Drosophila melanogaster: one gene and its partners. The protein of the gene in region 2 interacts with the protein of the main gene of each other region in a pairwise test. Each region holds a gene or a part of one and is shown on either strand. Other genes may lie near its edges.

What was found. The genes of interacting proteins can lie anywhere in the genome.
Region 1: the proteins of Spred (region 2) and angel interact in a two-hybrid assay, tested with the Drosophila melanogaster proteins (one large-scale study listed by BioGRID).
Region 3: the proteins of Spred (region 2) and CG9331 interact in a two-hybrid assay, tested with the Drosophila melanogaster proteins (one large-scale study listed by BioGRID).

Annotation. Positions count from the first base shown.
Region 1 is NT_033778.4:23,692,084-23,695,774, reverse strand, and holds angel (angel), read right to left. Parts: upstream 1,773-3,691; 5' UTR 1,658-1,772; coding exon 593-1,657; 3' UTR 543-592; downstream 1-542. Other genes in the region: CG30183 (uncharacterized protein), read left to right, coding at 1-495, 2,044-2,916, 2,975-3,163, 3,335-3,691.
Region 2 is NT_033778.4:14,766,412-14,771,162, forward strand, and holds the start of Spred (Sprouty-related protein with EVH-1 domain), read right to left. Parts: upstream 3,013-4,751; 5' UTR 2,867-3,012; intron 1,960-2,866; 5' UTR 1,613-1,959; coding exon 1,593-1,612; intron 1-1,592. Other genes in the region: BEAF-32 (boundary element-associated factor of 32kD), read left to right, coding at 4,175-4,418.
Region 3 is NT_033779.5:20,821,869-20,828,266, reverse strand, and holds CG9331 (uncharacterized protein), read right to left. Parts: upstream 4,626-6,398; 5' UTR 4,152-4,625; intron 3,834-4,151; exon of another isoform or gene 3,543-3,833; intron 2,996-3,542; 5' UTR 2,847-2,995; coding exon 2,755-2,846; exon of another isoform or gene 2,692-2,754; coding exon of another isoform or gene 2,600-2,691; coding exon 2,180-2,599; intron 1,635-2,179; coding exon 1,297-1,634; intron 1,236-1,296; coding exon 1,110-1,235; intron 771-1,109; coding exon 652-770; 3' UTR 543-651; downstream 1-542.

The DNA.
Region 1 (3,691 bases), 8.9 Mb from region 2:
GGAAAGAAGTCCAAGAACTTTCTGAACAACTCCAAAAAGAAGATCCTGCGCTTCGTCTCGCCGAAGAAGTCTAATCAGGAGGTGCACACGCAGCTGGATCAGCACAGATTCACTCCCCAGCAGTGCACCATTGGCGTACAGACATCTACCTCGCAGCTGGACCTGCAGTCACAGTCTCCGCCGGGAAGCTACCACTCCCCCATGCAGACCACGCCCTCGGGTACGACCACATCCACCCGCCAACAGCTGGACACAGAGCAGCCGTACTTCGATTTCGAACGCAAGGTGAAGGCACCGACGCCTCCGAAGAAGCTGCCCCGTGCAAACAGAGCCCGCAAGCTGGACTTTCAAGCAGCAGCAACATCACCCACCACCTATCGCTCGTATCACAAGGATCTCGACCAGGACGTCACCATCACTAAAATGGGCTATCTGCTCAGCAGCATCAGGGCCAAGCTGGAGGCTAGCGATGAGCACGCAGTTAGAACCTTTCAGGTGAGTCCCTTCCCTTAATCTTTTACTTTATAATAAGTGGGCATGTTCATTTCGTACCTTTATTGATGAGTCCAAGAAAGCATGAAGAGATTAAATACTAGACAACGGTGAATACTGCACCCAAGGCGTAGTGATCCGACCCCAGACGGTAATTGGGGATCTGTCCCGCCCCGATGCACCGGTTGATTGAGGGCAGTGAGTAGACGCTGAGAGGCAAGAGCTTGTGCCTGCTCCGCGATCCTAGCGAGCGCAGGATGTAGTCCACGATAACCCATTCGTTCTGGTATGTGGAGGCAGTACCTTCGCCCGAATCGATGATCTCGAAATGCAGGGGTTCTGGGCAAGCTGTGGAATCCACATCCCCATTCTTGCCAACGAGGAATTCAATAGGCGAGGAGTCGGGCAGACTGTTAAAGTCACCAGTCAGGACGATAGGTGTGTCGGTGGAGAACGACTGCAGCTCCTCCAAAATTCTTTCCACCTGGGCGCAACGGACATCGCTCCGTTTCGTGTTGAACAGCAAGTGCGTGGTGGCGACCACGAATTCCTTCTGCTGCTCCTGCTGCTTTTTGAATCGGAACCTGGCAAACAAGGCCACATTGTCGCGATTGAGTAGAGCCACCGCCTGGTCGTACAGCTCCACTGCTTGGTGGTCTAGCAACTCAAACTTTGAGGAGTCGTAGACAATAGCGCATCCGTCCGTTCGACAGCCGGTCTTCTTTTTGTACACATAAGCCAACTTCTTGCCGTTGCCCATACGCAGTCGTTGGACGAGCACTGGAAGGTGGTCGAACTGCATCTCCTGCAGGCACAGTATGTCCGGATCCAGTTTGAGCAGTTCCCTGAGAAGGTTCTGCTGGCGGCGTTGCCAGCTGAGGAACTCATGCGGGATTCCCACGTACAGGAAGAGGTGCTCCAGAAGCAGATCCTGGGCCAGGATGTTATATGAGACAACCTTGAAGGAGGAGCACTTGTGCGGGTCTCGACCCTCAGCCTGATTCCCCAATGACGTCCAGCGTCTATTCCGATCGTGGCTCGACTCCATCTCCTTCGCTTTTTGTTTGCGCTTTCCGCTGGCTCCTTTTGCCTGGCTGCTCACGCTGCGCCTGATAATCCTTGATGTCGCCTTGAGTGAAACGTTGTGCAGCAGAGACCTGTACATCTCACCAGGTGCGCCTCCCCATAAGCCCGAGCTCCTGGTCCCCTTGAAAGCCTCTTGTTTCTTTAGTGTTTTTGGATGGCGTCTGAATTTCCGAGTGGAGGAAAGAAATCTGCTGCTGTCAGCTGTTTTCACTTCTTGTTTTGCGCCTTCCTTCGCTGGGCTGCATTGCAGCTGATATCGATAACGGGGCGGTACTCGGTCTATCGAAATTTAAAAAAGTGTATCTCGAAGTAGCATTGCAAGATTCGTTCTTACTAACTTTCTGGTCAAATAGATTTAGTTAATCATTGGTTTATTGATCCAAGTAATAAGGCTCTTCTTTTATAAATATATCGTTAATATGGTTTGTATTTCAATAATAAGAGTATAATTTCAATCGATTGCAGGACTGCTCCCGCTTTGACCGCCATGAGCCTCAGATCAGCCATCTTCAAACCGAGAGCTACGACTGCACAGACGGACCCAGCAGTGGTGCAACCACATCGTTGGCCACCACACGGCAACAGCGCGATTTCGACAGCGAGCCCATTTACTCGGAGATTGAGGAAGACTGCCTGCGGATTAGAGGGAGTCCCCACCACGAGGTTAGGACCGCGGCACAGATTATAGACCACACGCCGACTCCTACGGAAAGCTCCACCGCGTATGTGAGTGGGTCTGTGCCTGCTCCGTCGACCTCGCGCGATGACATCAGTGCCATGTACGCCAGGGTGCAAAAGACGCCGAAGAACTCACCGCAAATGAAGCCAGTGGATAAGCCTCAGATTAGTTTCCAAGCTATTCAGCCACAGAAAAGTACTCATTCCTTTTCGCCGCCTATAACAACACATATTGTTCTTGATCAGGCGGTACAACCTAAAAGCTGCACCCAGTCGAATCCAGCGCAGCTAAGCACCCAGATGGTTTCACCACAATCAACTGCTCCTCAGCAGCCTGTAGCTTTGGGTCACTTTCTCCACGAATCCCTGAAGAACGGCAACTTCTTCCAGTTCATGCCTCTGCCCGAGGAGCCGAGTGGAACGGAATCCTCGTGCTCAGCTAGTCAGACCACTGAGTCCTCTGTGATTCGCCAGCCGAAGTTAAAGTTGCCTTCGCCACATGCCCACCAATCCTTGAACAATATCAGTGAGCAGCATTCGCCGCCCAAGCAGAACCGGAATCTTTCTCGTTCAGAACTCTCTCTGCAGCGCAGCGAGATCTTCTTGGACAATCTCTGCCGCAGTGAACTGGTGTTGGATCGCCCAGAAAAGGTGCCCAATGTAAGTGCCATTGCAGTTTTTACAATTTGTCACATTTCTAAGCCAAAGCCCATTACAGAATACTTCCAATATGGATTCCGTTTCGTATGACATGCCCGAGCAGCTCTACGCAGATTACAGTTTGGTTGGAGCGGGCAGCGCCGGCAGCTCCTTCGTGACCAACGATTACGGCTCCGGGCAAATTGAACCTGAGCCGGCCAACCAGAGTACGCCGAAAAAGAAGCAGAGCCAGCGCTTTACAACCAAGGTAGAGATTTTTGTTGACTCCCACTAAAGCTTAAGGCTTCCGCTTGCATCTGATTTCTGACACTGTACATTCTGTAAATAGCCACTACCACACTGTACTCATCCATCGCTTTCTGAAACGCACTTCAAATATAAGATTGTTGTTGAAACTGAGTAATGATTGATCTTTCAGCCCGCTTCCAATTTGACCATAGAAATTAATGATGGCCAAGCCACGTCGCTGCGCCATTTTGGTAACAATCTGAGCATCAGTTGCCCCACAACGCCACAGCAGGCGCAGGCCTCGCAGGCAGTGGATCCCACTGTCCTGCACAACAGCAGCAGTTTGGGTGAGCTGATGCAGACGATGCCCAATCCCAGTGACAGCCAGCTGATGTCAGTCAGCGCTCTCGCTCGCTACCGCCTACTGAAGAATGCCCTTCGTCGTTCGTACCGCAAGGGAAAAGACTTCTTTCTGGCGGAGAAGCAACGCCTGGCTCAGAGCCTCAATCTCTCAAGGGACCAATCGAATCAGACGGATGGGGAGCTG
Region 2 (4,751 bases):
TACAAAATATAGTTGCCTACTTTATGGCGACGTTCTGCATATATAAGTAAAAAAATATTTGCGATCTCAAGATCTGCACAGCAATGAAATATACTTTGTAAATATTTCATGCAGGCCATTTAAAATGTATAAAATCAGAAAAATATTATTATTGCAAAACGTAAGCCTGTTTTTGAAAATTGAGCGATTGTTAATGGGAAAGTTTAACCATCAAAGGTAAAAAGTGGTGGATGTGAGTTACCTTTCTAGAACAAAAACACTCTTAAAATATATATTTAAAGTTATTCTAAGATCTCCAATCGTTCGTAAGCTCGTTGGAATTAAATTGATTATATGGAGGTCAAATCGCTGATATCATTGATCTCCCTGCTAGTTTTCGCACATCGGACTAGTTGTGGGCACCCATTAAGCGACTTTGTGTGCGGGGGCATGCCGCATATCAATTCATTATGAGGACGGAATAAAGAGCAAGACATGAATGAAACTATTGAAACCTTGGGTGACCCCCCCCCCCATGCCCCTTTTTGTTCTTGTTGCGCAGGCATTTGCCAAAAGAAATAAACGAACCGCGGACGAAACAAACAACGAACAACGGACAAACACAAATTGACATCATTTTCGAATAGAATTTAAAGAGCGCCAGTGGCGCGAGGCAATAATACGTGAGTAGTCGTAACAACGGCAATTATTGGGCCCAGAGGCGAACGGAAAAAGAAACCACACATGGGGGCGTTCCATTTCATTCATTAAAAGTGTCGACAGACAATGCGGAGACTTCAGTTCGCCCAGACAAATGAGTCACGCTTCCTTCATTCATTCGACGACTGTCGGTTGGCTGTCCATTGAGGAAAAGAGCCCGTCGACTCAATTTAAAAGCGCTTCGCAAATTGAAATTGACTTCCAACAATCGGCTTTCAATTGATGCCAATTAATCGAGGCACGCCAAATAATTGCAGCACATGAAATGCGCAAAAGACCCAGAAATGAGTGCAAGCCAGCTGAAGTGGCGCGCTTCGTCACTAGTTGCCTACTTAATTCAAATGTGTAAAAGAACACACAAGCTATTTTTAAATACTTAAAGCCACAGAACGTCTTAATATTTTTTTTAAATAATTTAAATTCCTAGAAAATAGATAAATAAATTAAAAAACTTAATATGATTAATAACTTTCAACAGACTCTAAAAATTTAAGACTTGTGTTAGCCAACCATGATAGCAATTTTAAAAATTTCTGCAAATTTTTTTATCAAGTATGTATGATACATGATATCCGGGATATGACGTTAAGTTTTTTTTAAAAATACAGTAATCTAAAATTTGTATGCTAGTTAGCTTTCTCTTTTTAACGCGCGAGTCACAACTATCTGAATTCAATTTAAAGCTCTTTAAATCCTTGATAATATTTTAAGTTTTAAAGACACTTTTAACCACACTTATTTATATTATTTATAATATTATTATAGATAGAAACTGAGACCCTATTTTGGTCCAGATAATAAAGAATTCTATCCTGTAAATATTTGTATCTCCTTCACCAAGATCTACAGATCTATCAATCTATTTGAAGTTGTTGTAATTGCGAGGAACTCACCTTTCATGTCCTTCTGTCATGGTTCGTTATCAGAAAGATTCTAATATAGCAGCGTGTAGTGTCGGTGTTGTTGTTGTTGGTGGCGAAATACACCATGATTAAAGCATAAAGACATTCAGAGCTGCTGCTGCACAAACGTTTTCAACGAAAAAAGTGTAATCGAGCGACAACAACAACACCAGAAGATAGTCAAATAGTTGCTTAGGCGATCCAATCCCACGTAGTTGTTTTTGCTGTTGTTATCCGACTTGCAATATCTCGCCGATCTCCAGTACTCTTCCTCTTTTCGTTTCTCTGCGTCTCTTGCGTTTTGGCACAATTTTGGGGGCGGGGCTTTGCAAAGAGTTGGGGGGGTTCTATTCATTCACTAAAATTGAAGGTGGGCGAAGGTGAATAATTAATTTCGGGTTTCGCGTTTATAAATCGAGAATCACTTTTACTTTTCCCCAAATACACAAACACGGCGCTTTTCATGTGGGCGTGTAGACAAACACAGTGGAAAACTTCGCGCACACACACTAACGCGTACATACACGGATTTTTCCAAGCAACAAAAGATGTAACAGATGAAAATTGAGAGAAGGAGAGGCTCAACTCGGTATTCTCTACGCGTTTCAAACACTGACTATTCGGAATTGTAAACTATATAGTTAGTTTTCTTATTTATTTAGCTTTTTTGAACTACCATTTGCTGCGAGCACTACTTTTTTATTAACATAAAATTTGCACCAACGAATCAATCGCGCTCGCTCTCGCACTCTCCGTCACTCTATCTCCCTCTCGCACGCGCTCTCCGCAGCTTGCGCAGAAAGTTTTTTGGGCGATTTCTCCATGTGTGTATATGCTGCTCTGCTTGCTGTTGCTGCCTTTACATATTTCATATTTACATACGCCTATACATACTGCAGCACAGCTATAATTTTTCACCGATTTTCCCAACCGATATGTTTAATTGCCAACCGCAGCGGATTTCCAACTATATTTTCTTCTTATTGTTTTCGCTTTTCACTGGGCTTACGTATGTATGCATGTGCGTGAATTGGAGTACTTCTTTTTAGTAACAGTAAAAATGAGAGGGCGAGAAAGAGAGAGCACTGGATGAGCTCGTTTTTCATTATTTCGCATTTAAAATGTGTAACTCTGTCTTTTAATTCATTTATTTAACAACGCGCACACATACACAAAAACACACACACACACAAAGCAGGAGCAGACGCAACAAAATGTAGCATTTTTCTTTGTATTAATTTTGCACTGTTTTAAATGACATTTACTTTTGCTGCTTGTTCGCAAATTTTTTTGCGTATATTTGTGCTTTTTCCGATTGGGCGTTTTTTTACAATTAAGCAGATATATTCACAACAATTGACATTTCCAAAAACAAACGACGGCGACGGCGAAAAAATTAAGAGACAGTGTGACCGTGGAGCAATCCGATAAATATACTCTCTGTGCCAACTCTAAAACTCCACATAAAATACCAACGTATATAAATGCATATAACGAAAATATTAGCTTTTTGAATTTGCAACTCTGGGGTTTTAATTTATGGCGGATTTCTTGAAAACGGTAATATTGACAAAACTTTAAATGTTCGTATTGTTTTCTTTATTCAAAATTTTAATTTTTCAAATTTTTTTGTGTATCGACATTGTGGATCATTAATAGTTTTAAATTAACAGGAATTCTAGGAAAACCTACAATTTGGTAAGCTAGAGCTAAGAATCGATTCTTTTATTCATATTGGTTGGGCAACATCTTTCGGTGCAGCTAATCCACATGCAGGCATCTGTATTGCCTGGTAGCCTTGAATTTCTTTGATAATCTTATCCTCCTGGCTGTCCAAGGCGACAAAGACCAAGAAGAAATCGTAGTGCGTTTCGATGTCCCGCGCACTAACCACGACGCACCAATCCATCAGGGCCTCGGTTATCTTATCTGTAGCCTTGTCCGCACTGGAAACGTCCGGATTCCAGTGGGAATCCTCTTCATCCTCTGATGTTGGATATATGACATAGGTTCTGTAGCACTTGTGCCGCTCCATGTGTGAAGTGCATCCATGTTATTTGACCAAGCTCGATTCTGGAGAAGACATTCCAGACTTTGCCGCGACTGCGCTTCTTGTTGAATTGCCGGACTCCGGCGTTCAATTGGGCCTTGATATTGTCCTGGCTGTAGGAAAGCCATCGAAACTTTACCCATTTAAATAAAAAGATTCTACTGATTCAATATACAATAGTCAACTCAATTGAGTTTATCGATAGACTGTTTACTATGGGTAATCGGAATCGCTAGTCATATGAGAATTTTAGGTTTTAAACTAAAAGAAAATATTCAAAAAACATAAGAAACAAATAAAATTCAAAAAAAATTAAACTTACAATCAAGTTCTTTTTAAGAAAATCAGTGGCTGTTTACACCACCTTACACTTTTCGCACCGTGCTAGCGCTTGTTTACCAACACAGTTTTGTGCGTGACTGAATTTTCGTGAGTTTGTATTTGTGTACATTTTGTAATTTGGGTTTGTTTTCTTCTTGGCAAACCGAATTACCACCGCAAATCGAACAACCGATACACCACGATGCATGTTGAAAAGAAATCAGAGCTTCGTAGCCTACTAAAATCCGGGGACAAGCGTTGCAAACTCGTTGAGCCCAGGAACACCAAAAGCTGCGTCTGGAGGTTTTTCAATCTCGTCCAGTGCGACGACCACATAGAGCCGTACGCCTGCTGCAAAACCTGTGGCGATCTGTTATCCTACAGCGGCAAAACTGGAACCGGATCCCTGCTACGGCACCGATGTCTCCACTCCAGCAGCAGTAACGGTAAGTTCGGGATCCGAAATCTCACGCACGCCCTTCACAATCGAAATCCACTGCCACGCGTGCTCCGTGCCGTAGAAACCGAGCACGGATCAGTGCCCGATGCCATCGCGATAAATCCACGGGTCATCGGTACAGGCTCCTCCACTTTGGCGCGGAAAAAGTAGAAACTCTAGTTATAGCAAGGCAGTAAATCGTCTTGAAAAAAAAAACTATAGATAAAAATAGTGCAGGATAGGTACAGAATTTTCCCCAACCAGTGGTTGTGCTTGTAAATAGTTTATAAACCTATTGTATATTATCTAAAATGCTATTAAAAAATCAGCTAAAAAATAT
Region 3 (6,398 bases), on a different chromosome or scaffold from region 2:
ATTCGCCCCCAGCACCTTGAAACCAACGGGCCATGCCCAGGGGCCTTCAATTATTATATTCGATCAGCAAAGCCATAATCAGTGGGAGCAGGTTGAAAAACTACAACCGAAGTCGGGTTTCGCGAGCGAACTCTCAAGCGGCATAAGCACCCAGTTTTAAGAAGCGATGATCCTATTCCGATCCTGATCCGACAAGCTCCCGCAGCCGTTCCTGGGACTTTTGGATGCGAAATCAGCAGTTTGAAGGTCCTCGATACATTTTGGGGAAAAGTGGTAGGTTTTGCAATTGTGCAGAGCTAAACTTTGCGAATTACTAAATCAATGTTTTCTGCTCTCATTTCTTAAAACGTACAATATTATTTCCTACGATATACTATATTAGTATTTAAATTATGTTTCTCATTCTCTAGCACCAATTATTCTATTGCTTTACCTATTCCATATTAATCAGTTGAGCTAATCTTACGGTATAGATTAGATTCCCACATATTTAATTTAATAAATTTGCAACAGCAAATACTTGTTTTTTAATTGTTTTTTTTATTTTCACATCTACTGGCATGCCAAGGTCATCGGCGGCCTTTCGCACTTTGTTTGGCGGACATTCCAAACTGGTTAGCGGTAGAAAGCCATATTTCCCATTTGAATTTACTAGTAGGCGGGCGACAACATGGGCTCCCCAGCCAAACCGCGGAGCACATTATGGGCAGCAATGGTGGACATGTCGGCACGGGTGCGCTTCGTGGCGGATCCAATATGGGGCAGGACAACTAAAAGAACACATCAAGTGGTTAGTTCAAGATACGATTACACAAACCAAGATAACAATGTTTTAATAAATCAACAAAAGAAGGGAATTATAGAGGTCAACAAGGACGCAGAAATTAGATAAAACATGGAAAGAATAAACGTTACCCTATTTATTTGTAACCTTCAAGAAACCTTAAAGATTCCATTAATTTCAAAATACTTTTAGTCATTGTCAACCACTGAAGAGATAAGTCAAAATCTTTATATTGATAAGGGGCCAGAAATACGAGTATTTGCTAGGTGTGGGCCTGAGGACTGATATCAATAAACTACAACATTATTTTCATTTTCCCACTCACCAACATTGTCAAGCGTCAGCAGCTTGTCCTTGGGCGACAATGGTTCCGGATCCGTGACGTCGAGTCCGGCGGAAAAGATTCGGTTGGCTTTCAAAGCCTCGTAGAGGTCATCCTGGTTGACGATTTCTGAGGAATAAAATAAATAGTTAAAATCGGTCGAGAATCCCAATTAATACTGGTAACTTACTGCCCCTGGCAATGTTAACCAGCACAGCAGTCTGCTTCATCTTGTTGAAGGCGGTGGCATTAAAGACGCCCTGTGTGTCCTTCGTCAAAGGAGAAGCGATCACTACGAAGTCACTCTCGGCCAGAAGGGTATCGAAGTCAACTTTCTTGGCATTGAACTCCTCCTCGATCTCCTTGTGAACACGACGACGGGTGGTGTACAGCACCTTGTCAATGTCGAATCCAGACAAACGCTTGGCAATAGCCTGACCAATGCCTCCAAAGCCGTAGAATCCCACGGTGGAATCACGAATATCCTGGCCCAACAGCCAGTTAAGATGGTAGTTTTCCCACTTGTCACTTTTAGAACGCAAAAGATACAAATTAAGAAATTGAAAGATATATGAATATTTCCAAAATATATAATATACTTGTAGATACTCGAGATACTGATAAATGCCTGTTACTAAGCTAAGATGAAGATAAAAAAAACTTTTTTTTATTGCACCGCCACCTAGCGGCGGTTACATAAACTGCTCGTACCTTTTGTTTGTAGATAAATCGAAAGTCAATACTTTAGAATTTTACATTATGCATGTGAGGAGCCAAAACCTATTGATGATAATGCTTTGTCCACTTGTGAGCGCTATAGAGCAAAAGTGCAAGCGACAGACGAGCGGACAGGCGGTATTCTTAAGAACCGGCTTGCAATTTTAATCGAGAATTCATGCGTATACATTTCACGGCCACACTAAGTTGAAAATAAAGTGTCCCTAGTTTAGCTTAATTATAATAATAATTATGACAATTATAATTTCGGTTTACTCTATTTTTGTCATTGCTCAAATTAATTCTGTAAGTATATGAATCATCACAAACACAACTAACCAACTAGTGGTACTCACTTGTCGATGGTCTTGCGACCCTCGTGAAAACGGCGACTGGCGGCGATCAGGAGACCCACTGCCAAATCGGCCACGGCGGTGTTGAGAACGGTGGGCGTGTGTCCCAGCGGGATCTTACGTCTCTTTACCTCCGGCACATCGACGTAGTCGATTCCCGCCGACATGGTGGAGATGGATTTCAGCTGGGGACCGGCAGCATCGAGGGCCTCGGCATTGAGGGGTTCGTGTCCACCCCAGAGAACGCCATCCACGCCACGGATTTTCTCCAGCAGCTCCGCCCGGTTGATGGGAACACTCTGCACCTGGACGATCTCGCAGTTCTCCTTCAGCAGATCAATGCCCTCCTGGGGAACCTCGGGATGTGTCACCAGGACCTTGAAAGCCTTGCCAGCGGACATGGTGCGATTCTGGCTTTGATTTCTGCTGCCCCTGCGTGGGAGGGAGGCATTACTACCGGCGATCAGCAAGGCCACAATCAGTGGCAGCAGGGAGTTGGTGGCAATCGATCTCATCTCGAAGTATTGCGATCGAAGTCGTGTTTCGCGAGCGACTGAACTCTCAAGCGGCATACGCACCCAGCTTTAAGGAGCGGCGAGAACGGAAAGCCGCTGATCCGACTGCTCCGACCCACGATCGCAGCCGATAAACCAATGAACCTGTTTAGCATTATAATCCGCGCTCTAAATCTCTCCCTATATATGTATGTACGTATGTATGTATGTCTGTAGGCGTTCAAGCCGCCGAGCAGCTGATGTGAGTCTCAGTCTCTCCTACGGCGTATGTATAAGACGCACAACTGGTTTGCTGGTTCGAGAACTAAGGTATAATATTGGAGTTTTATCGAAGTGGATTCAATAATCAGGAACGGTGCAAGATTATTTCTGGGTTAATAACAATAACATTTGGCAAAAATAAACATTCTAAAATTAAGTTTAATTTTACTTAACATGTGGAGCGTAATGAAAAAATTACGAAACATAGATGAATTTATCAAAGACTAAGAGCCAATTATTTTGGCTAAAAAACAGAGACAATTATTTCAGTGGAAATACGATTATATACTGCGGTCAATAATTTCGAGTAGCTAAAATACATCTATCTCCCATGTTTTTTAAAGTACTTAAATTTCGCGGTTATACGGTCGCTATCTCCGCACAGACGCACGAGATTTTTATGGCGAAATTCCGCGAGCAAAAACTTTCAGATATGTTCGCATCTAATCATTTTTCCACGACTCATTCCACTCAACACTTTTGACAATTTGATGGTTTTTTAGCATTGTTTGTTTGTTTGTGGGAGGGAATGGAAAAACCCACAGTAATATTTTGATATTAATTACACTCAATGTCACCAAAGAACAAACCGTCACTCTTAAAAACTCTCTTAACCAAACTGTTTACGACACCAAATGTCACAAGAGAACTACTTTATTATATTATTATTAATTTGTTCTTTACACTATGCTACACTCTGCCTCCAAACGCACCCGACGTGAAAATTTAACTAAAACTTTTTTCCATTGGCTATGCAATAAAAGCTCGCAATCCGATTTCATTTTTATGTTCTCTTATTTAGACTTTATACTTTCTCTTACCGTGAGATCTATAGAACTAGAATACTTTTCAGCTTTGCGTTTGCCGCACGACTGAAGTATTGGCCCCAAAGCTTAAGCCTTATATAGAACTCATATCGTATCGCAAATGAATTATCAATTCCCAAAAAAGAGTTAATACGAGAGTAATTTTCAACATATTAATTCGGTTTACATTTTATGGAATGGTGCACAGATATTTTTGAAGTCAATTGTATAAATTCGTTAAAATAAAATAACATATATGAAATATTTAAAACAATATGCGATCTAACAAACTTTTATTATCGTAAAAATACACCCCTTAAAGGCCGGAAACTCACTAAAATCTCAGTTAAAAATGTAGTTCACTCTTTAACATAATATTGGGGTTATATCAACCAGATTCCAGTACTATCAGCGATCAGCGATTCCCCCTCCGATTAGACCATCATTGGGCATCCCTTTCTGTCGTTGCACACTGCGCTTTGCCGCTACCATCAGTCCGTCCCTTTCCAGCTGCTTATCTCGAAAGGCTCCTTATCGGTGCGAACGAGACAGAGACGGAACTCTTTGGGAGAGTGAGCAGTTGGGAAAGCTGTGCGCCTGCTCGAAATACCAGTTGGGGACTTTTCCCATGTGCTCGCATGCAATTTCCAACTGGAATGGGCACCACCGCAGTTGGAGCCACCGGAGCAGTGGAGCCATTTGGCCATTTAGCCGTGGTGCCATGGAGCCAAAGCACTGCAGTCGGTTGGAACGTGGAACCTACACGACCAGCACTATTTCGCAGTTAAGTACGTTTTTTTGTGAGCGGATCTGCTCAAATTTTGTCCGCAGAACAGCAGGCGCACAGCGTTGGCCAACGCACACTGCGCTTTTTCGTCTGTGTGAAAGCGGCGGCAAGAACCGTTCGCGTTGGCGTTAGCGTCGCTGGCAGTGATGCGCGAATTAACTAGCTAGAACTTCCGACAAAAGGCACAGAAACTTAAAACAAAATACTAAATTACTTTACGTCTACGTGTAAGGAGTAATCAAATATTTTACTGGTTAGAACTGAATATATTCATAGACATGATAATACATATACATATTTATAAGATATTCCAAATGTTAAAAACAATAAAATTATTGATATTGTTACTATACGAAAATTGACTAATCTAAATTTTACTGATTTACGATTTAAGTATAGAACTATTTTAACATAGTTTTAACCATAATACCGCTCTAGTGAAATATCGAAACGGACAGTTTGGCTTTTTGTTTGCCTAGATTGGCTTCACTGAAAGTTGTGCACTTCCTCTTACCTTTGAGATTTGGCCCAGACACTGCACTCTGCCTAATTGAAAGCGAAACGAAAAACCAACAAAATATTAGCGCTTTGTGCGAGGGTGGATTTTTTTGTTGTCGTGACGCGGCGCAGCGTCTGTGCCTGCTTTTTCTTCGTCCCCCACAACGGTTTACACATTTTCTTCGTGCCTTGTTCTTTTGTTTCGCGGCCATTGTGCAGCAGAGTGCCGCACATTGGTGCTCTTCTCGCTTTTATGCTTTCCTGTTACCAAAACACGATGCGTCATTTTGACTGACGTAACCGGAGACAACATTCCAATTGGAGACAGCTGTCTATCAGACGCGACCGTCGTCGTCGTTACGTCTGCTGCCGCCGGCATTGCCAGCGCTAAACTGCGGTTTGGTGAACAAGTAATCAGCAACTGATGACAGCAGACAGACGCCAACGAGAGTGTGTGCGGCGGACAGAGAAGAGAAAATGCGGAGAGATAGAGATAGTGGAGGCGGACAGTGAAAGACGGGGTATAACGGAAAAAATGGAATTTGAGAAGCGCATCTCTCGATCTCTCCACTGAACATATGAAAATACAATGTACATATGTACATATGTATGTAAATAATATTTATAAGTTGGGATATTAGAAAGCCTAACACTAGGTCTTCGTTTTAGGCTAATAAATTACTACAGTTTCGATATAATCGGAAACTGAAAATGAAAACGTTTACTTAGTTCAGTTCCCAACTAAGAACAAAGTGGGCATACTTTTAGGCACTTCTAAGCACTATTCCTGATAATGCTTAATGCAATAAAAGTTAATGTGTCACCAAAAATACACATTGTAGTACTTGTTCACATTTCTTAAAAAGTAATTTACAAACATTTTAACTTAGAACTTAGAACCTTGCTAATTGCATTCACAAGGTAAGATTGGGATTGCCTTCGCACAGCACTCAGCGGGTTAAAGTCAACTGTCAAGGGCAAGTTGCAGACACCTAAGCAGCATCCACAAACATATCCGTACTGCTTGCGCCGCATTCTGCTTGCTTCATATTTGGCGACACCAGCAGCGGGAATCGCAAATGGCGGCCGAGCGACAAAGCTGCAAAGCGAGGCGTCGCGCACTCCGCGCAGGCGCTTTTGGAGCGCCCAACTCCACTCAACGGCCTGTCGAGAAGGCCAAGATGAAAAAAAAGTGGGACGTGCCGGGCCACAAAAAAAGTGGCCAACCGTCACCGATTTTTATGGTGTAGGCTCCCTAAAATTGACGCGCAACATTGAGGCAGGTCCCTCTACGCGATATAACGGAACAGGCGCCCAGAGTCGCCAGCAGCGAGATAACCCGACGGAAGACAAAA